Linked DNA regions of Tamandua tetradactyla. The protein of the gene in region 1 interacts with the protein of each later gene in a pairwise test. Links are inferred from orthologs where the notes say so. Each region holds a gene or a part of one and is shown in the gene's direction. Other genes may lie near its edges.

Region 1 (7,913 bases):
ATATTACCTGGTTAACGTAGTATTTGAATTCCATTGCAACGTGCGTAACAGTATGTTAGACTTTCTGGGGGTATACGACCCTCAGGCAGCGTAATATATATAGAGAGTATAAATTGGAAACAACTCATATATATCAAAGAAAGTAACCGTACTAGGTATTAATAATAAATGGGGGAAATGAGCATTTGGCTCCCCTCGAGTGATGGGGTTGGAGGGCTGAGGGCCTGCGAACTGGGTGATCAGGTGTTCTAGTTTGCTAGCTGCCGGAATGCAATACACCAGAAATGGAATGACTTTTAACAAGGGGAATTTAATGAGTTGCTAGTTTACAGTTCTAAGGACAAGAAAATGTCCCAATTAAAACAAGTCTATAGAAATGTCCAATTTAAGGCATCCAGGGAAAGATACCTTGGTTCAAGAAGGCTGACAACGTTCAGCGTTTCTCTCTCAGCTGGAAGGGCATATGGTGAACACGGTGACACCTGCTGGCTTTCACGTGGCTCTACCAAAAAAGGGACTCTCTCCAAAATGTTTCCTCTTTTAAAGGAGTCCAGCAAGCAACTGCACCTTCAGTGGGTGGAGACACACCTCCATGGACATCATCTAATCAACAGTTACCACTCACAATTGGGTGGGTCACATCTTCATGGAAACAATCAAAATGCTCCCACCCAGCAATACTGAATGAGGGTCAAAGGGCGTGGCCTTTCTGGGGTCCACCACAGATTCAGACCGGCACATCGGGAAAAGGTAGCTGATGGGGAAAAGAATTGGAAGCTGCAGGGTGGGAAGGGTTTGGGCAGAAGAAAGGGAGAGTATTAGAGACAGGCAGAATTCTTTCTGATCTGGCTGATTAATATAGGTTTCCCCCACTTTTTCCCCTAAGCCAGGTAAACGGTTACTTCCGGGCGCCCTCTCTGCACTGTACGGAGAGGACCTTTGTCGTCTGCATCTATCCCAGGCTCTTGTCCTTCCTTCCCTTCAATTTCAGGACTCCCGGGGCGGGCGAAGGGGCGGGGTGGGGAGTGCGTGTCAACAGGGACCCGCAGCTGGTCTGCGATAATGGACGGGAAGGAGAACGTCTGCGCTTCTCTGCCTAGAATCTGGTGTGGGGTGGGAGAGCACGAGGAACCGAGCAGCCTGCTTGAGGCTCCCCTCTCCCCCGTCACCCTCTGCAGGCTGGAAAGACCGAACAAAGGCCACCTCTGGGCTTTACAGAGAAGAGAAGGGTGGTTTCCCAGGCAAATTTTCAAGACTGCCTGCACCGTACGGGTGTTGCCGCCCCCTTACCAAGCTCTTCTTCCTGCTCTTTGGAAACCTTGGTTCCGTCGGAGCTGATACTGGTTAGGTGTTAAGAAGGAATCTTTCTCTCTAAGATCTGAATAAATGATAACCTTCCCTAACTTCAGAGTGTGATGGCTTGGTGTTTCAACCACTCCAAGAGGCAAGATTTCAGGCAGGGTATATAAGTGATCATTTATTTCTGGTCAGGGTCCTGCCTTAAATTTCCAAAGGGGGTTGAGGTGGAGGGGTGGGAAGCAGCCCCACTGCAGAGGCCCCCTCCAGATCGCAGCTCTGTCAGCCCCTCTGTGGCCCCTCGTGCCCTCTCCTACGCTCCTGAGGGTTAGGATTGCTGCTGCCCCGGTCTCACTTCTTGGGACCGCTTCTGGGAGGGGTGCATGAGTGCTCAGGTGGGGTGCAGGAGGCGGCTCATCTGTGTATGGAGCCCTCCTCCTCTCAACCCCCCACTTTTTTCTTTTTTTTAAAATCTTTTTGCATGGGCAGGCAAGAACTCTGCCTGCTGAGTCATCATGGCCTGCCCCCACCCCGCACTTTTGAGAAACCCTGTACTTTCGTCCTCACTGCCTGTTGCTCATTGCTTCTTGCTGATCACGAACCTCAGTAGAAGCGTTGGGTCCCATCGGGGAACTGCTTTGTGCAAGCGACTGGAACCTGGCCTGGGGGAGTTTCAGATGCCCTTGGTTAAGTGCCTTCAGGCATTTTAAAAGAAATGAAATTGCAAACGAATTTATTTTCCTCTCGGCATTGTGCTGATAGCTTTTAGCTTTTAGCCAAAAGACAACACAGATTTCACTGGATTCATTTTTCATGATATGAAATTGTTGAATTGTTTTCCTTCAGCAATCGAAGCCAGAATTCAATATTCTTTTCTATTTCCTTTGGACTCATTGTTCATTAGAAAATATTTTGCCAGTTTTATAGGGGAGACAAGAATTAGTCCTTGTGGACCCTCTCTCCTCCCACAGCCTCTTCCTCCTGCTCTTCCTGCTGGTGGGTCCCAGACACGGCAGGGCACGTCGTGTCTCCCTAGGATGACATACTTGGCAAAGAGGACGTGGGAACTCCCTGTCGGACCACAGTGCATAGACACCCCATTTGGCTTATTAATTATTCCCTCTGTACATTTTCATCATATCCTTCTCTGCTGTTCTTCCTTTGGACTCTGTCATGAAGAAAAAAGAAAAAACATCTGCCATCCTGTCATTTTAAGTTATCATCCCAATTGATAGAGTAGGAGGTAAAGTAGAAGGAGCATTTACTTTGGGATTAGATGGGCCTTTCTTCAAAACCAGGCTCTGCTAGTCTGTTATCTGAGAATTCAGGGGCAAATTAAAGCTTTCTTGGCTTTGATTTTATTGTCTATAAAATGAGAACGGGGCCTGTCTCCCAGGTCTAGCTCCTGTACTGTTTCCCTCCCTTCCTTTACCTGTTTTCCTCTTACTTCCTTCCTGGCTAAAACTATTTTCATTCCTCCCTTCACTGCAAGTGTGCCAGTGCGAAACGATTATGTATCCCAGAAAAGCCAGACTTTAATCCCGATCCAATCTTGTGGGCCAGACCTGTTCTTTAGGGTGGGAAACTTTGATTGGACTGTTTCCATACACCCAAGTGTGGCTGTGGCCTTTTGGTTAGATGGAGATGTGACTCCGCCTATTCAAAGTGGGTCTTGATTAGTTTACTAGAGTCCTTTAAAAGGAAGAACATTTTGGAAAAACCTCAGATGCAGATGCACACGTTTGGAAATGCAGAAGCCCCAGGAGACACAATTGCTTTAGAGCCCACAGATGCGGATATTTGGAGATGCTTGGAGTGCCGATGCCTAGACATGGATGTTTGGAGATACAGAGCCCAGTAGACATCACCATGGGCTTTCCCATGAGATGCTAAATCCACAGTTGTGCCCTGGAAGAGTTAACTGAAGACCCACAGACACTTAGAGAGGAAACCACTGCATCAGAAGTTAGAAGCAATGGAACCAGGGAATAAGGACCAACAGATGCCAGCCATGTGCCTTTCCATGTGACAGACATTGGCCTTTCTTGAGTCAAGGTACCGTTCTCTGGATGCCTTAGTTTGGATATTTTTATGGCCTTCAACTTGTAAACTTGTAACATAATAAATTCCCTTTTTAAAAGCTCTTCTCTTTCTGGTATATTGTGTTTCAGCAGCCATTAGCAAAGCAAAACTGCAAGCTTCCAGAAAGCCAGTGTATACTGGGAAGTATCACTCTTCCTGGGGTCCCCAGAAGTTGGCATACCCCATTTAGCAGAGAGCAGGTCACTGGGTGAATATATTTTGGGTCATCTCATCTCCAAATGCTCAAAGTCAGGGAGTGGGTGGTTGTGTGCTATAATGCTTATATTTCCAGGTGGCAAAGTACAGGATTATCATTGACATCCATCCAGGCACTTGTGCAGCACCATGGTTAAATGTCTAAACCTGACAAAGACCCTGGGTTTGTGTATGCTCTAACAGGCAGAGGGAAGGATTTTGGACATGGAGTGAAGCTCTGTCCCACTTCTTGCTGCAGGCTATTGTCTAACTAGAGTTGTGTTCAGTGAACTCTTGTCTTACTTTTATGCACTTGAGCTGGCTCATCCACACAACCATGAATTGATTGATTCACATGGCATGGGCAGGAGCAAATGAATTTAATGTAGGTGAAAATGCTATATGGCTAGTAAGGTACAATGCAATGTAAAAATAAAAACTAACACTTTTTTTTAACACTTACGTGTACCAGGCATTGTTCTAAGCTCTCTACATGTATTAACTCATTTAGTTTAACACTCTTTAAAGAACAAGGTACTGTTAAAATCTCCATTTTACGGATAAGGAAACTGAGGCACAGAGAGGTAAAGAAAGCTTGCTGAAGGTCACCCAGCTAGCAAGTGGTGCAGCCCCGGTTTGAACCAGGTAATGCAGTGCCAGAGTCTTTGCTGTCAACTGCTCCACTGTACTACCTCTATCAGGTGTCAGCATTTGTCAATACCATTCCTGTCCTCTAGCTGAGAGTGTCACACAGCCTCTGCTCTAGAGAACCCACCACCCGGGGCTCTCCTGCAATCTACCAGATGAATTGAGAGGCATATGCAATGCAGCTGTGATCACAGCCAGGCAACGAGGAATCATTGAAATTCACAGAGGAGTAGCTACAATAAATGATTGACTCATGGTTGTGGCTTTCCGGTTTCAAATCACTTGCTTTCCAGGCCCACTCTGGGATGAAAGTGCTGATTTGCAGAGGGTTCAGAAGGAGCAGCCAAGTTTGTGCCTCCAATTTTCATGCTGACCTGTTGGCATAATTTACAGCATTGCCAGCGGCCCTGGGAGGCAGGGGAGCCGAGATGCCATGTTCCTTTCTGCATGTTCCAAGGCAAACACTGACCCAGGCCCCTCAAAGCTGTGAGCCAGCATCTGTCTGTTTTTGGCAGTCAACCCCAGGGGTGTGCAGGGAGAGAGCACCCTGAACTTGGGGTTGTTCTCCAGAAGCTGTTGCAGCTGAGCCTGTGAGGGTTGAATGTTTATGGTGCCATGTCCTCTTTCTTTTCTCAGGCAGCCAGGATGGCTTACCACCTGCAGCATCCTTTGGGAAGACGCGGCTGGCAAGGAGGCCAGGCTACCTGAGAACCACGGCTGGACCCCGGGTTGGATGTCTCTCCCCGGTGGTTGGCATGCTATTTGGTGCCCAGGGAGTGGCATGCGGCGGGGAGCACCAACACTCTGAGCTCCAGGCTGGACAGGGCAGCCGGGACTCTGGAAGCCAGTGGCCAGACCCCTCACTTGGAAGCACTGCGGCCCCAGCTGGGATACCTATGGCTCTGACCCCAGGAGGAGAAACCTCAGGGCGCTTTGAAATTCAGCTCAGAGCTGGTACCAAACCTCCCAACTGGCTAACCAGGTCTTGCAGCCCTGGGGACTCTGGGTGTCAGGGAGAGTTTCCATCCATGAAGAGTTCTGACGTCCCAGGCCCTACTCGGGATGCAGCCTATGGTGAAGGAGTGAGGGGTGCTGGGGCAGCAAGCTCTCTGGCTCCAAAGGGAGCGAAGAGCAACAGCCGCAGCTGGGGAAGTGGCCCTAAGGCCCCCTTGGCCCCTTTCAGCTCTCATGAGGTCTTTACCTCGAGCTTTAGCTTCATAAGGCTCTGCCTTGACTCCGCTGGGGAACGTGGAGAGGCAGAAGGCTGCCCTCCATCGAAGGAGGCCGAGGCACCTCGCCAGGGCTCCGAGGAGATGAAAGCCCAAGCTGCCGGCTCGGAGAGGCCCCAAGAGGACCCTCCACTTCTCTTTCAGCCATTCGATCTCAAGGCTACTTGGGGCCTGGCAGACTCTGCCCAGACTGCACAGAGCAGCCCCAGGCCGGAGTGTGAGACGCTCTCTTTATTAGACACGGATGCTGCCTCCCCTTGTTCCCTGGATTCTTTGTTGCCTGGCTCTTCTGCCTGCGAGGACAGCCCCTTGGGGGATGATGTCGGTTGGGACACCCTGATCAAGAAATACGAGCCTGTGCTGCGGGAGTGTCTGCTGAGCAACCAGAAGCAGTTGAAGGTTGGTGTCCCCTCCCCCTCTGAGCCCCACAGGATTGTCCAAAACTCAGATTAGCAACTGGACAAAGGGCAGGAAATGACTGGGTGCTGTGTTGTCCTACTTCCCCTCCCGGAAGCCACAGCAGCTCCACGTGTTGGCTGGCTGCAAAAAAGATGTGACTGCACTTCTGTTTCTTCCTTTTCAGTTTAGACACAAATCTGTTTGCATTTAGATCTTCCCTGTGACTCTGATGCTCCGAGTTGCTCTCTGCTGACCCATAGGTTCCTCTGCAGTCCCTGGCTTTGGTGAGACATGGTTGGCTCAGCCTAGCTCATTTTGAAACAGGAAATGGAGACAGGGGAAGGGAAGATTGAGCTGGTGTTTGGAAGGGGTTGAGTGAGAAGAAAACAGTGATGCTTTCCATTCAGGGTAATTTCAATCTTCATCTGTATTTACTCCTCTCATTTCATCCTGCGGCAATGGAAATTGTTCTATATACAGTTAGGAGATTTATTTTCTGGTCATTAAATTTCTCTGAATCTCAGTTTCCTTATTTAGATAGTGGGGATGACAATACCTCATAGGATGGTTTTGAGTCTCAAATGAGAACAACAGTAGTTGGAAATTAGAAAGAAATGCATAGATGTAAATTGTAGCATTACTGGATTGTTGTCCATCTAGCTATCTGAGTGGTGGGTAGAGCTGGGAGGGGAAGGGCGGTTCTACCCAAAAAAGATTCCCAGAGGAACCCAGGTAGAGATACTTTATGGCTCACCTACTGGACTGGAGGGCTGACCCACTGAAGGACTGCATTTTTTTTTCTGATGTGTGTGTGTGTATGTTTTATGTAAATGTGAGTGGGCATGACAGGTAGGGAAGTGAACACCCACTCATCAGACATTTGGTAGAAGTATTTGAAAATGTGGAAGTTCATTTTCATGCCCAGAAATCCTATCTTATTTACTTTCAATTCTTTACCTGGAGCTTGATGATCTTAACCTCATTCCTTCTTGCCCAAATCCAGCCCTCAGAGACCTCAGCCCAGTCATCTCGTTTATGACGCAGGGAGACTGTGAAGCCAGGGCAGAGAGGCAGCTCCTGGATGATATGCGCAGTCCTCGAGTTGGACATGCCCAACACTGACGCCATCACCTTTCCCACCAAGCCTGTCCGGAAGTGCCTCATGTTTTATAAATATTTGCTGATTGATTTAATAGAATCATCCAATGCCTCAGTCATCGTCAACCCTTCCTCTCTCTCCCTCCCTGCATCTGATCAAGCTCCAAGTCCTCTCACTTCCACCACTAAGATAGTTCTCACTGCCACCTCCTAGCTCAAGTCTGTGTTATCTTTCACTTGGGTTTCTCAAGAGATTCTTAACATGTTTAACCTCCTCCAGTTTCTCTCTTCTCCAATTCATCCCACAACTGACCTGCAGACCTCTCTTCCTGAAACATAGGTGACACAGTGCCACTCCTTAGCTTAAAAGCTTTGAGGCTCATTGCTGCTCTCAGGATAACATCTGAGCATCTTATTCCAACAATCAAAAGAGTTGTCCCAATCTGCCCCCAGCTGCCAGCCTCAGCCACTGGGCACTGCTTGCCGTTCTCTGTAAGACCATAGGGACTCGTCCCTCAGTGCCTTTTCTCATGGCTTTGCCTCTGCCAAGAATGACCTTTCCTTACTTTTCCATCTGTTAAGTTCCTTCATTTCACTTTCAATGATGCTCCATTGCCACTTCTTCTGAGACATTTCCTACCCCATCTAGACCAAAGAAGTCCCTCCTTCCAATTCATTCCCATAGCACTTTGGACTGCCCCATTGTAGCACCCACCACATTTAGTAATAATTTGTTCATGGGTCCCAATTCCCCACTTGACTAACTAAGACCTCTCTTAGTTGTTTTTGCATGTCTGATACCTAAATTACTTCCCAGTCCTCAGCAAGTGCTTGATTAATATTATTTTACTGAAATAATTAATTGTGGGAAGATAGGCCACAGACAACTCAGCGGGTGAACCACTGCCCTTCCCCCTAATGTGAGACATGACTCCCAGGGGTGTAAATCTCTCTGATATCGTGGGA
Region 2 (7,791 bases), on another chromosome or scaffold:
AATTTCTAGTGGGTTGGAAATTAAAATGTATAAAGGGGAAGTACCAAAAGTACACAAAGTACTGCAGACAAACATATGTAGCTGTTTATATAATCTCTGATTAGTGGCAGACTTTCTAAGCCTGACAACAAAATCAGACATCATTCAGGAGAAGATCAATAAATTTTACTGAAGCAAACTTTACAACTTTAGCATATCAATAAAGACCATAAACAGAATTAAAAGCCAGTCAACAAATTTAAGAAAAATACCTGCAATATATAAATGAGAAACAAAGGATCAATACTGAAAAAAGCCTTTGCAAAACAATGAGAAAATATGAATACTCGGTATAAAAATAAAGCAGTGCAAAGGTAAGTCACCACAAAGATGCAAATGACAGATAAATATTTGCAAAAATGTCTAACCATAGTGCTAGGTCGGGGGAACGGGGAAAGGCACTGCAACTGGAGCTGCAGAGGCTGTGTCACCCTTCCCAACCTGACTTCCGGAACTAATGAACCGCCCCTTCCGGATGTTACCTGACCCCCATCCTTAAAAGCTGCCCGCGCTGAAGCCCATGTGCGGACTCACCTCTCTCCATCTTGGATGCGGTGAGCTCTACCCGGGAGCGCAGAAATAAACTCGCTCACTTTAAATTTCCTGGTCTACTTTTCTTCTTTTTCACCCTTTTGCCTCCTAAACCTTTCACATAGTAATCAAAGAAAGACAGGTGAAACAGTCTGGCCGTTATTCGCCTTCCAGTTGGCACCAGTACACTGAGGTCAAGTCGTGAGGCCCAGGAGTTTGGGTGCAGTTGATGGACAGTGGGCACCACTGAGGGAGTCTGAGCTGGAATCATTTGCAAAAAGAAGGCTCTCGTGCCTAAAGAAGGATGGAACAGAGCCATGAGGCGGAATGTGGAGCCAGCAACCCAGGTGTGGGGAGGCAATGGCCCAGAACAGCACGAAGCATAAGAGAAAAAAATAGTTCTGTTGAAGTATTCTGAAGGCAAAGTCCTCAGGCTTTGCTGGTCAACACAGAGAGAAACTCCAGATGGCCAGTGATGTTGTGTGGCAGGGAGGTCAGCAGCCCCACTGAAAGAAACAGGGATCCTGGGAGGGGGTGTGAGTGAGAGGAAGTCCAGGATTTATTTTTTGACACTGGGTCCTTGTGTTAATCAAGATTCTCATTTGCTTGTGACTGGCAACAGACTCAAAGGATTTACGCAACAAAAAGCATTTGCTGCCTTGCATAACTGAGAAGTCCTGGGTTATAGCTTAAGGCACATCTGGATCTGGGTACTCAAATGGTATCACTTCTTCTTCTGTTGTGCTTCAGGAGCACATCCCACCTGCCTAGCACATGTCCTGGGGTGGCAGGCACTGGCCCAGACAAGGGGTGACATGCCCATCAGGGAACCAAAGATGGAGGTTGTTGGCCCAAACCAAACAACATAGGTTGAAAGTCAGGGGAATCTAAAGGAAAACCAGGGATCTCTACACAGAAAGGGACTGAAGCCAGGCAGCAATATCATCCAATACCCACTACAATTCACCTCTTTGCTCCTTGAGAGCTACACATACCTACCCCCTTCCTTCCATTTCACATAAAGCAATTATCGCCCCCAAGATTAAAGCACATTAAATCCCATCTCCAGAGGGAGGGGTTCCAGGTCCCCACCCAGTTACCACACCCAGCCCAAGCCTGAGATCTCAGAATTAGTATGACTGACCTGCTCTTTGATTAGGTGCTAAACTAGACCCTCTTAGTCTTTTGGTTATGACCAGATTACAATGATGGAGGAAAAGTAGGATAACTGAAAAAAACAAAACCCAAAGGTGTGAACCCCTTATTTACGGTGCCTGGTGTTCAGTGATAAACCCCTTTTATTAGGCTCGTTTTTTCCTAATATATTATGACTGCCATTCCACATCCATAGAAATAAATATTTACTTGTCCATTCCTTAAAAAAAAAAAAAAAAAAACCTCCAAAATTGAAGAGGGAAGATAGGGAAAAAGAAGCCTCAGAGGTCACAGGTACATATCATAGACCAGGTCCTGCTAAACAAAATGCCCAGGGAAGGACCCTGCAGTGATCCTCCCACATGTGGCACCCAGGACGATGGACAAAGGAGACTCCCGAAGAGCAGAGTGGTTGGGTGAGCCTGGTTGGGTGAGTGTGAAGGGCCACTGAGGGGTCACCTCCTACTGGTGTGGGTTCTGGTGAGGTCCAGGGATGGAGTACCCCTGGTCTTTGTTTTCCAGGTTTGGGTTTCTTTCCTGGCAATATTAATTCGCTTAAACATTAGAAGCTTTCAGTCAATTTACATTTGGTCACTGAAAGTTGTAATTCTTGTATCAAGGGGTGGCTTGGGGGCAGGAGGAAGGGTCATCTCTTAGCAACAGGCTTCCACCCACCTCCCAGGAGCCTTTAGCTGTGTGGCCTCTCACTGGTCCCCTGTCGCTAAGTAATGCACACCCATAGTCTTGGATGGGGAGCTCCCTGGGCCCTACCCCTCAAGCTACATCCCAGCAGAAGGCTTTTATAATAGAGGCCACTGGGAAGGTACAGCAGGAGGGGTTGGTGGGGGCTGCTAAGGAGTCAGGCGCCTGTTAGGCCCCAAGCTTATCTCCCTCTGTGTTTCCAGCCTCCTAGTCCTTGCTTGAGCTGACTTTAGCTTGGAGAAGAGATCTGGCTCTTAATTACCTGATTCTCAGCCCTATTGGGTTACTGGCCTCAGGCAGAAAGGGCCTCTCTAGACAAAGCCAGAGCTTCTTCTTCTCTCTCTCAGATGGGCGCCTACGGCCAGAGAGTCTCCTTCTTGTAGGACATTACTGAAGGTCATGAAAAGTCCATACCCCAACATTCCTGCATTTTTCTACAAGTCCCCTAAAGTTCCAGCTCTGGTAGGTACATGGTCTGAACACAGAGGCAGTGGGAGACAGTTTAATCACTTGCTTTGCTGCTGAAGACAGGGTTCACCCATCTCAGGACTCTAATTGGCCAGACCTATGTCATGTTTTTACCCCTGGAGCCAGGAGTGGACCCTGGCTGATGTGGACTGAGAAAGTAGGGAAAGAAGGATGGTTCTCCAAGGTCAAAGCAGGATGCTATCACCAGGAGCAGGTGCCAGGCTGGCAAAGGGAGCAGCTGTCCCACCCATCCATCCACGTGGAATGAGCAGAAGGCAAATGGAACTGAGGAGTAGGTAAGGATGGAGAGACAGCACTGGAGTCATGGGCTTAGAGCTGTGAGTGGACAGACTGCCTGAAGAGAGGACTGAGGCAGAGGAGGCATGAAGGCAGACCTCAGTGAAGACCCCCATCAGGAGGCAGGAATTTTGGGGAGAACCAAGAGAAGAACCTAAAACGAGGCAGCATCACAGCACCCTGTGAAGATGGAGGGGTCAAAAGTGTCAACCAAGGGACAAAGTGGGCAGAGACCTTAGATGACAACTGGATTCGCTGATGAACAGGTAATCTGTGACCCCAAGGTCACAGTAGAGAGTGAAGTCCAATGGCAGCTGTTAGGAAGAGGAGGGCAGTGAGGACAAGTGTAGAGAGCCCTCAAGGCAGGAGAGGGGAGGCTGGAAGTCAAAGATGGAAGGGCTGGACAGCAGGGGTTGGGGGTTGATGAGGGGTGGGAAGGCCTGGGTGGGTTGGTGGCTTGTGCCAAAAGGGGTCTGGGGAGGATAGATAATGAGCCCTTGGGGCAAAGGGCAGGGTAGGGACATTTATTGGTGAACCACATATCGAAGAGATCAGAGAAAAGGATTTAGGTCCCTGAAGTGGCAGGGATGGGAGGGTGTGGTGCAGAAGCAGGGACCAGGCAGTGACACATGCACAGAGGTCATGGCAGGGGTGGGTGGGGTGGCATCTTACTTACAACATGGTACCAATAGTCCAGGCTGTGTGATGGATGTGGTTTGCACCAGATGGAAATAAGCATCCTCTTTTTAAGGATTTCTTTTGAGGTGTAACAAATATCCAGTCAGATACCATATAACATACTAACTTAAGTGTACTACTATATAGTGCACTAACTTAAGTGTACAGCTTGATGACTGTTTACATATGCATCCACCTGTATAACTCACTCAGGTCAAGATACAGAACATCCTCAGCATTGCCCCTTCCCAGTCCCATAGCCTCCAGGGGTAAACTATTCTGACTCTTGTCATCATCAGTTCTGGGTGCTGGAATCCTATATACACTCTTTGGTCAGGCAGATTTCATGCAACCTAATATCAAATGGATTCATCCATTTTGTGGCATGTACCTTTTCTCATTACTGAGTAGAATTCTATTATAAATCTACCACAATTTATCCATTCTCCCGTTGCTTCCAGATTGGAACTATTGTAAGTAGAACTAATGCTTCTTTTTAGGAAATCTTACTCTCGCACATGTATAGGCCCTCGCTGAGGTACCTGAACAGGCCAGCCCCCTATGGGAGGTCAGACCTTTAGTCTCCCCTAATTCCTCCATTCTGAGCACGTATTTCCTGGAAGGTCAATATCCTCACCGCAGATGGGGACGGGGGCTTGTGGGGGAAGCTGCGACCCCACCCTCCTAAGACTCATCCTCTCTCTTCCAGCCTCCTTGCCCCCGGCCGCGGGCGCCCTGAGCCTTTCCGGCCCCGCAGTGGGGCTCCCCGGCGGCCCCACATGAGCGCGCCCAGCTGACCGGAGGGGCGGCCGCCGTGGAGCCCGGGCGCAGAGGGGGCGGCGGGGCCATGGCCTCGCTGGACCTACCCTACCGCTGCCCGCGCTGCGGGGAGCACAAGCGCTTCCGGAGCCTGTCGTCGCTGCGCGCTCACCTGGAGTACAGCCACACGTACGAGACGCTCTACATCCTCTCCAAGACCAACAGCATCTGCGACGGCACGGCCGCGGCCGCCTCCGGCTTCCCGCTGGCGCCCGAGCCCGCCGCCCTGCTGGCTGTGCCTGGCGCCCGGCGCGAGGTCTTCGAAAGCACGTCCTTCCAGGGCAAGGAGCAGGTGGCCGGGCCGTCGGCTGCAGCGCCTCACCTGCTGCACCACCACCACCACCACCACGCGCCCCTCGCCCACTTCCCCGGCGACCTAGTGCCCGCCGGCCTACCCTGTGAGGAGCTGGCCGAGCCGGGCCTTGTGCCCGCCGCCGCGCGGTACGCGCTGCGTGAGATCGAGATCCCGCTGGGGGAGCTGTTCGCGCGCAAGTCCGTGGCGTCCTCAGCGTGCTCGACGCCGCCGCCCGGGCCCGGGCCCGGCCCTTGTTCCGGGCCCGCCTCCGCGTCGCCCGCGTCCCCGTCTCCTGCCGACGTGGCGTACGAGGAGGGCCTGGCGCGCCTCAAGATCCGCGCGCTGGAGAAGCTGGAAGTGGACCGGCGGTTGGAGCGGCTGAGCGAGGAGGTGGAGCAGAAGATCGCGGGCCAGGTGGGCCGGCTCCAGGCTGAACTGGAGCGCAAGGCCGCCGAGTTGGAGACGGCGCGACAGGAGAGCGCGCGGCTCGGACGGGAGAAGGAGGAGCTGGAGGAGCGCGCTTCTGAGCTCTCGCGCCAGGTGGACGTGAGCGTGGAGTTGCTGGCCTCGCTCAAGCAGGACCTGGTGCACAAAGAGCAGGAGCTCAGCCGCAAGCAGCAGTGAGTGGGGCCGCCGGGCCTTTGGGGGTGGCCCGTGAGTGTTTCTGAGTGAGCGTCTGTGTCTGTCACTGTGCCACCCCCACCGTGAGCGGGGCTGCGTGTTGGCAGTGAGTGGGTATGTCTGTGCCTGAGACCAGGGCTTTGGAATATGGAAGCTGTGGCGGTGAGCTTGTAATGGAAGTGTGTGCTAAGCGAAGAGTGAGTCTGTGGCAGTCCGGGAAGACTGTTTCTTTTCCTTTGCTGTCATCCCAGCCAAAGACAACCCCTGCGTTTGTGCACCAGATCTTATTTTCCTTAGCGGACTCAGTGACTTGGCTCAACTCTTCCCCCTCTTGTCCATCATCAGATTTTCCCTGTCTGCCATATTATTCCTAAAAACATGCCCACGTGATGTCTTTTTTCCCATCTGTCTTAGCCCCACTATCCCCTTAAACTACTGGCCTATGTCTCTCCTCCTTAAAAGTATTATTTACACTCCTTGTCTATGGTTTCTTTCCTTCCACTCTTTTTTCAATCCATCCTAATCAGGTTTTGCCTCCACCACTGTCCTTGACATCAACAATGAGGCCACATCACCATCTTACATTGGATACAGCTGACCCTTGAATCCCATTCACTTGGGTTCCAGGATGCTCTCCTGGGTTTTCCTCCTCCTATTTTTCTGTCTGCTCCTTCACAGTTGTCTTTGCTGGTTCTTCCTCATTTCTCTAGCACTTAAACGTAGGAGTTGTGAAACATGGAGGTGTTATCTGTCCCCAGTGTGATATAAGCTCCATGGGGCAGGAATTGTTCTCTATTTTCTTTGCTGCTGTGTCCCTAACACTTAGAACAGTACCTGTTGCCTAGAAGGCACAGGAACTGGTTTCCTGTGGTTGCCATAACAGAGTACCGCAAACTAGAACAACAGAATTTTGAAATTAGAACAACAGAAATTTGTTCTTTCACACTTCTAGAGGCCAAAAGTCTGAAATCAAGGTGTTGACAGGCCTGGTTCCATCTCGAGGCTCTGAGAGAGAATCCTTCCTATGCCACTCTCTTAGCTCTGATTGCTACCAACAATCCGTGGCTTGTCGCTGCGTCACTGCAACCTCTGCCTCTGTCTTTACTTGGCCTTCCCTATGTGTCTCAGATCTCCCTTCTAAGGACATTTAGGGCCTACCCTATGTCCAGGGTGATTTCATCCTGAGAGTCTAAACTTCAGTATAACTGGAAAGACTGTTTGCAAATAAGGTTGCATTCATAAGTATGGGGGGTTTGGACATGGACATAATTTTGGGGGTGGAGACACAGCTCACCCGGCCACAGTGTTGAGTAAATGTTGAAGGAACAAGTACGAATGCACTTGGGAGTGAATACTCACTCAGCTCTGTCATGTCCCATGTTTTCCTGTAACTCTTGGAGGCTGGTGCGTGCCTCTGCATCTGCGAGTCTTTCTCTCTGGGTTGATGTGACCTAACGTGGATTTTTGAATGCTTGTATATGGCTGAAAAAATGTCTGAGCATATTTGAATGCCTTTGAGCCCCACACTCAAAGGGGCATACCCAAGAAAGACTGCAGTATGGCTACACGTGTGTGAGTGTGTGGGGCTGCCCATGGAGTTGTGCATTGGGCTTTGTTGGAGGGTGGGGTGGATGGGTACATGTGTGTGGCTATGTGACTCTGAGTACACACCTGTGAGTGTTTCTATGTTGGGAGATTGTGTGACTGAGCACATCTGACTGAGCACATGCATTCTGAATGTGCAGTGGATGTGTCTAGGTATGGTAGAGAGCTGGGTGGGCCTGGATGTGTGACCGTGTGTACCCGGCAGTGTTTCTGGTGGGAGGCAGTGGCTGTGTGTGGCAGTACAACTATGGGGAGCAGGGGGCTCTTACTGTGCGTCTTGCTGGCTGGATGAGGCAGCCATGTGAGTGAGCCTTTCTGGGTGTGACAATGTCTTGTGCCCAGTGTGCCTGGGCTGGTGTGCACATGCCTAGGTGACCAGGTGCAGACAGCTGCACACAGCCATGTTCAGAGTCTCTACCCCCAGGCCAAGGTCTTTCGGCAGAGGGTGGGTGGGCAGCCAGGCAGAAGCAGTGGGTAAGAGACTGCTCCGGGCCCAGGGAGGTGGTACAGATTGACCAGTTCCTGAAGGAGACAGCAGCACGGGAGGCCAGCGCCAAGTTGCGACTGCAGCAGTTCATTGA
Region 3 (7,373 bases), about 94 Mb from region 1:
TGTCTTTTACACACTCTCTTCTCCTTTCCTGGAAAGCTCTTCCCCTATATTTTGTATATCCAATTCCTTCTTGTGCTTAGTTAATAGTATAAATACCATTTCTTCAGAGAAGTCTGTACTGATCATCTTATTTCACCTATCTCAACATATTCTTGTTCATCTTCAGAAATGTTTTTTAAACAGACACATGTATACTGCTTATTGGGTATCAGGCAGTGTTACTGGACAAAGGCAGTGGACTTTTTTGTCCGATACATTCAATAACTAATTGCTGAGATATCGGGGTTTCAAAGAGAGAAAGATTTTATTACTAGGTGTGTAGTAGGACAGCAGATGGCCTAGCAGCACGAAATCTGTCACCCTGAGTTTAGGAGGTTCAAGGTTTTTTTCCGAACAGTAAGTTCAAAGCAGAAGAGGAGACAATGTTATTATCGTTTCAATAGGAGAAGATAAACTAAAAGGAGGGGAGGCAGAGCTACTATTTTAGTACTAAAAGTGTAAGCCAAAAGGAAGGGAGACAAGTTATCTTTCAAAAGCAGAATCTAGCTGATATGATTTACAAATGTTCAGGGCTGAGGCTCGTTAATGGCTGACTTCAGTAGCATTAGGGCCTTTGCCCTCCAAGAAAATGATCAAATAAAGGGTGTAACAACTCTCAAAGCTACAAAGGCATGAGACAAATGCTATTACACTATTTCAGATATCAGGGCAGCTGACTTACAGTTTAGGAATTTCAGGTATTCCCCTGTCTACTCCAATATTCCAGAAAGCAAAAAGGGATATGATTCAGTAATCAAAATCATCCCTTAAATCCTTATTTTTCCGTTATAGCAGTATTCTGTGAACTCATTTAATCTTCACAACAACCTCATTAGTAGATTATCTGATTATCTCCTTTTGAAGAATGAGGTAACTGAGGCATAGAGTCGTTAAGTAACTTGACTATGGTCAAAGAGCTAGGTGGCAAAGTAAGTTTCACCCAAGAAGACTGGCTTGTACTTGTAACCACTATGCTAACATGCCTTTTAATGTTATAATTTGTAATTATTTTATGTATTTGTCTGTTTGGGTTTGTTTGTTTGTTGTCTTTTTGCTTGTTTTTTGTGTGTCCCTCCCAGAACATAAGTTCCATGAGATCAGGGACCATTAACCAGTAACATCTTATTGGTTATTGATTTCAAAATGCCTACTATAATGCCTACTACATAATAGATACATAATAAACATCTGTTTAATGAATGAATAAATGACAGCAAGATAAAGAAGAATCTATGCAGACTAAAATGGTGAGAGATTGACTTAAGGTACTAGGCCACAAAATACAATTTTGTTTAAATAAACATTTGCAAGTAAGAACATTCTGTAAGTAATTGGAGGCTATTAGAATAGAGAAAAATGATGGAACCCTGCTTCTAGGAATGGTTTAGAGATTGTTTTCTAGATATCTGTCACTGAATTGTTATATATATAATAAGTTTCAGTTTGAAAGAGCTGCCAGAATGCGATATACCAGAAATGGAACAGGTTTTAAAAAAGGAAATTTATTAAGTTGCCAGTTTACAGTTTGAAGGCTGTGAAAATGTCCAAATTAAGGCAAGGCTATAAAAATGTCCAATCTAAGGCATCCAGGGAACGATACTTGGCTTGAGAAGGCTGATGACGTTTTGGATTTCTCTCTCAGCTAGAAAAACACATGATGACATCTGCTAACTTTCTCTCCTCATTTCTTAAGGCTTTCCTGGGGGTATTTTTCTTTTACTCCAAAGGTCTCTGGCTGCATGGGCTCTGTTGGTTCTGGTGGCTCTCAAGCTTTTTCCAAAATGGTTCCCTCTTAAAGGACTCCAGTGAGTAACCCCTTCTTGAATGGATGGAGACACAGCTCCATGGAAACCATCTAATCAAAAGTTACCACCCACAATTGGGTGGGTCATATCACCATGAAAACAATAAAAAAGATTCCACCCAGCAATACCAAATGAGGATTAAAGGACATGGCTTTTCTGGAGCTTCAAACCGGCACATAATACATACATACATACATACATATATATATATATATTATATATATATAAAATATGAGGAAAGAGAGAAAATGTAACTCCTAACTATGTACTACTGGAAGAATGGGGTATATAAGGAAATAAGTTTGCCTTTTTTGAGTTAAATATCAGCATATAAAGTATCAAAGCTGTAAAAAGCAAGAATTTAAAGTGTTAGAATAGTGTAGATGTCTGAATAAAGTCAGACTGAATGTATTAACAAAATATAAGAAAATCGGGGTAGGATAGAGCACAGGGAATGGGCAGCAATGAACACTCAAAAAAAGGAAAGTCACAGTGAAACTGCATTCCTAATTCTATCCAAAGAAGAGGAAGACACAATCATAATATTCTGAGTATTATGATCCTCTCAGATCTGTGTGGAGTGAAGAATAGCCACGGGCATACTGTGAAGAAGACAGGTTAGCTACCTGCAATGACAGGATTCATCTCTTCAGCAGTTTATGATATTCTTCAGCGCGACAGTCGACAGGTGCTACAGGAGGAGCTTTTCAAATGGAGTGTGAGATCAAAGAAATATTGGGGGAATGTTGTGGTGAATGGCATTACTGCTTCTCTGAGAGCTTGGAATTCATGGTGGTTACATGTTTCATGTGTTTTCTCCATTTTATTTAATTATTTTTTTAGAGCACATAGTCACAAGGGACATATTCTGCTGATTGTTAGTATTTAGAATGAAACTTTTTGTCTGTTTTTTGAGGCAATGAAAATCACATCTAGAAAGCCTGTCAGTGAAGACTTTGAAAGGGCATTGACATTTGCTCTTCCTCCTGCGCCAGCCATCAGCCACTACTTTTTCTTTATATTTATAATGGAAGAGTTGAGTACTGCTTTCTGATTCAGAAAGCTCCCATGTGTGTTTTGAGGCATCTCCTGGCCATTGAGAAATAGCCCTCCGATAACTGTTATTCCTTAGTGGGGCTGAAGGGAACTGGTCAGAATCATCTTCTGTGGATTCCATAGCCTTCCGGTTACTCAGAAATCCCTCCTTTCCTCCCCGTTTCACTCTATTACTTCCTTCCCTCTTGGTTGTTCTCTATTATCTCTTCTCAACTCCTTCTCTTCTGCTCTGACTTCCCCTTTACCTCCTTTTGTGACTCTCCCTCATCATTCTACATGTTGATTAACTTGTAATGCGGTTTCCTTAAAAGCCTACAATATTTAGTTACTGGGCTTCTATTAGTTATGAGTGAAGATGAACTACACATTATTAAGGTTCAGTTTAGGGCTGTGGAGTTATGATTAAAATTGTGGCGTTTCTACTTAGCAGTTGCCTGACTTCGGGCAAATCACCGAATCTCCCAGTCCCTTCCTTTCACCAAAAATTTGTAGATTGGGGATAATGGTTACTACCTTAATGGGTTGTTAGGATTAGAGAGAATCACTCAGAAGAACGCCTGTCACATGGTAAGCCTCAGTAATTATTAGCTCTTATTATTATAATAATGTTTATTCTAGAGTACTGTTGATACCTTATGTATAGGGGATTTCAGTACTCTCTTCACCTTCATGCATTTTTCCCTTATTGAAGAATCCACGGAGTACGGTACTTCGAATTAAGATCTATCAGGGCAAGAAATAAGGGCACCGACAAGTTAACCAGTGCATGGGAATATATTTCTGGTTGATAGTTATCTTGTTGGATAAACTGGGCATAGAAAAGCTTTGGCCAGGAAAATCAATCTTTAGCGAAGACTGCCCTGAAGGATAATAAAGTTGTTTGGCGAGAGTGTGGGGTGGACCAGGAGAGGCCGAGAGGGAACGGAGGAAGATAGGGAGAGGAAAGCGGCAAGGGGCGGGCGCGGGCGCCCTGGGGCGCGTCTGGAAGGCTTTGGAAGCAGTGTTCGTTTTGCTGTAGGAGGCCGGGAAAGGATGCTGCGAGCCCTGGAGGTAAGAAGAAAGCGCGGGCCGGGACTGCGCTAATTACTGCTTTTCTTTGCTGAAGGCGCGGATTCCAGGCAGTGTCCTGAGCTTCGGGGCACGTCGCAGCGAGAGAGCTGGGGCGCCCGTGCCAGTCTTGTGAGGACCGACTTCCGCGGGATCAAAGCCCTGGGGAGGAACTCCAGCCCCGGGCGGGCCGAGCGGAGGCCGCGCCGCTTCCCGGGCTCCATCCCGCCGCCTCCGCGCTGCGCGCCCCTTGGTGCCGCCCCGCGGCCCCGTGTGCCCGGCGGGAGGTGCCTCGGGATGTTTCCGTCTGGTCCTTCCCTCCTCCCCCCGCGCTGACTCCATCCGCCTCCCCGCCCCCTGCTTGGAGCCGGGGCCAGGCGGGAAGGGAGGGAGCGGGCCCCAAGACTGCATCATTCCGCACAGGCTGCAGCAGGGCTACAGGGAGCAGGTGGGAAGAGCGAGCAAGCGAGCGACCAGCCGGAGCGCGCCAGACCGAGAGGGGAGACTGCAGTGACGCTACCCGGGAGACATGGCGGCCCGGCGCCTCTGAATAAGCAGAATCCGGAGCCCCTCGCTGCCCCCGGCCGCCGCAGCCCAGGCCATGCCGCACGGCTACTGACCGCACGCCGGTGCCGGCCCAGAGGACGCCGGCGGCAGCGGCTGCCTGCTCGCCCCCGATTCTTCCCCTGCGTTCTCCATGTTGCATTTCTTGTCAGTTTCTCGGGCAGTGTAGCTGCTGCTGCCCGAGGAGCAGTCAGGGCACCCATTCATCGGGCCACACTTTTTCTTTTCCATTTTTACCCCCTCCCCCATTTCCATCCCCCGCTTGCTTTTACTTGCCCTCCTGCCTCCATCGACCAGGGCTATGGCCGCAGAAGAGGTAGTGCAGACGGTGGACCATTATAAGACTGAGATAGAGAGGCTGACTAAGGAGCTCACGGAGACGACCCACGAGAAGATCCAGGCTGCCGAGTACGGGCTGGTGGTGCTGGAAGAGAAGCTGACCCTCAAACAGCAGTATGATGAGCTGGAGGCTGAGTACGACAGTCTCAAACAGGAGCTCGAGCAGTTGAAAGAGGTGAGTTGTCTGTCACCTCTCCCCTCCTCGGCCCCCGCTTCCCCGCCCCCAGTCCCCGCTCATCATTTTTTGAAGTCGGAAAGGATGTGATTGAAAAGACTTGTTTCTTCATCTTAGAGCCCTTTGTTGATGAGAGAAAACTGAAAGGGTCCATTGTCTTACCACCAAGAGAAAAATTGCCTAGGAAATGAATGTATAAACTGGAATTTGGGAGGCAGTGGTTGTTTGGGCTGTGGGGGAGGAAGATTCATAAGAGCCTTCAAGTACCAGGACTAAAGCCACATTCAGCTGGGTTGGAATGTATCAATCCAACTTCTCAAAACTGCTGTTATATCCAGCCCAGGTTTCAGTGGCAATCCCATAGTCCACAAAGGTGGTGAGTGGGTTTGTGTGAGGAACCACAATTTCAGCATGTAGGATTTATGGTACCTTAGCTTTCTGCTGAATGTAACTCCTCCTTGGGGAGAGAGGGTACTGTTTTTAGGAGAACTCCTTAGCAATCCTATTTTGCAAAGGCTGGGCAATCTTCATTCCTCTTGGCTTTAGTCATTCTTGTCATCAGGCTGCAGGGGAGAAAACACACAACAGTTTTCCTAGGGTGATGCTTGCTGCCTTGTATTCACCTAGGAGTGAGGCCGGGCCATGCCCAAGAGTTATGAGGTCACCCTGACCAGAGAAAATATAGCTCACCTACAAATGGTCTGAAAGAGTGTTATATATCAAAACACCTGCTTACATGGGTAGCCTTGCTTTCACATGAGGCTCTTGGGTTGAAACAATTGTATTTATAAAAACATAGTATCACAAATAGGCCGTGTATTAACACTTGCCTTCTTTAGTCTTTGTGCGTTTGGCTTCTTTTGAAGACCGTCTAAGAAATTAGTCATTATGCTTTAATTTCTTGTCAATACAATACACATATTATTTAAGGAACTCAGGCTGTTTTATCTGATTCTGAGGCAAGTAACCGGTTATAAATTTAAATGTACACTCTGCTTTTCTGTGAGGCAAGTCTTTATTTTTAGGCACTTATTGGTGTTTCAAATGTTATTTCTCATTTGATATAAAAAAATATCAAAAACCTTTCTTTAGTAATGTACTCAAACTATTTTTTTCCTTAGCAGAAAAGCTAGGTCTTCTTTTGTGTTGTTACAGTTAAAAGACATGATTTATGACATATCTAATCAACTTGCTTTCTTAGCATATTTACACAATATGGTAAACATTTATGTTTTTTAATTCTGATGCCTAAATGCCAAAAAAGAAATATGGTACATACAGTAAATACCCCAATTAGAAATCCCGTTCTTGTGCATCAGGCTGTAAATTTTATGATTTTTCTTACCATCTATGTATATTCTTAACAAAACATCTATATGTTTATATTTTCCAAAATAGAGAAGATTTTAGGCTGCCATGTTTAAATTTAGTGATGCTAAAACTTTTGAAGTCAGGAAACAGCATGATGATTGTAATTCTCAGAGTCTACACCTGTCATCATTGCTTTGCCAAGTCAGAGAAGTGCAAACCAGCCAGTGTGAAGTCATCGCCTCCTTGATTAAGGGGACAGACGTAATAAAATGGAGTGTAACAGTTACCTGACCATTTTGCTTGATTTAAAAAATTCTTCCAGGAATAACCCTGTGTCATTGCATTTACCCTACATAATAAACTTGATACAGTTGTCTTTTGCCTTAGTATACCATGAGATCTTTAGGCAAGGATTAGGTCTTAATTTATTTTGCATCCAAAGTCTAGCACAAAGCCTAACATCTAGTGGGCATGCTGTAAATATTTTATGAATATTTTATGGAAGAATAAATTTGTGCTGGAAGAAGATGTATGCTTCTCTGGCACTCACTAGCCAATATTACTGTTATAGAGAGACTAAGAAAATTAGGAAGTGGTGAATATTTTTAAAATGACCTGAATTAATTTCATCAGCAGTAATGAGAAAAATGCAAGAAAATGTTTTGTGGGAATGATATAACAGTTTTTTTTCTATAAAATTGTAAAGCATATCTTGGTCTTTATAGTAGGAGGTTAATAAAAATTTACCAGGGTTATTTTTACCAAATGATACCCACATGTATTTTTAGTTGTATTTTGTGTTAATATAGTAGTTCAGATTAAGTTTCCTAATGAAGTGCCTCAAACAATGATATAAAAATAAATTTTAGGGACCATAAAATAATCATTATACTTTATTATTTAGTGAGACCTGTTAGTTTTATCATTTACACATGATGTAGACTTTAGTTGAGAATATTATTTAAATGAGCTAAAGTAGTCTGAAGTAATATTTCCTGTTTGAAAAGTAAATTCAAAGTTATCAGGCAAATTGAGGT

Evidence for each region.
Region 2: the proteins of DISC1 (region 1) and FBXO41 interact in a two-hybrid assay, tested with the Homo sapiens proteins (2 studies listed by BioGRID and IntAct). The link is inferred for Tamandua tetradactyla from reciprocal best matches to the Homo sapiens genes DISC1 and FBXO41.
Region 3: the proteins of DISC1 (region 1) and BICD1 interact in a two-hybrid assay, tested with the Homo sapiens proteins (2 studies listed by BioGRID and IntAct). The link is inferred for Tamandua tetradactyla from reciprocal best matches to the Homo sapiens genes DISC1 and BICD1.

What each region holds. Positions count from the first base shown.
Region 1 is NC_135333.1:1,469,616-1,477,528, forward strand, and holds the start of DISC1 (disrupted in schizophrenia 1 protein), read left to right. Parts: upstream 1-4,866; 5' UTR 4,867-4,976; coding exon 4,977-5,849; intron 5,850-7,913. UniProt on the Homo sapiens protein: Involved in the regulation of multiple aspects of embryonic and adult neurogenesis. Required for neural progenitor proliferation in the ventrical/subventrical zone during embryonic brain development and in the adult dentate gyrus of the hippocampus.
Region 2 is NC_135343.1:46,914,329-46,922,119, reverse strand, and holds the start of FBXO41 (F-box only protein 41), read left to right. Parts: upstream 1-4,717; coding exon 4,718-5,604; intron 5,605-7,707; coding exon 7,708-7,791. UniProt on the Homo sapiens protein: Substrate-recognition component of the SCF (SKP1-CUL1-F-box protein)-type E3 ubiquitin ligase complex.
Region 3 is NC_135333.1:95,344,288-95,351,660, forward strand, and holds the start of BICD1 (protein bicaudal D homolog 1), read left to right. Parts: upstream 1-4,299; 5' UTR 4,300-4,812; coding exon 4,813-5,025; intron 5,026-7,373. UniProt on the Homo sapiens protein: Regulates coat complex coatomer protein I (COPI)-independent Golgi-endoplasmic reticulum transport by recruiting the dynein-dynactin motor complex.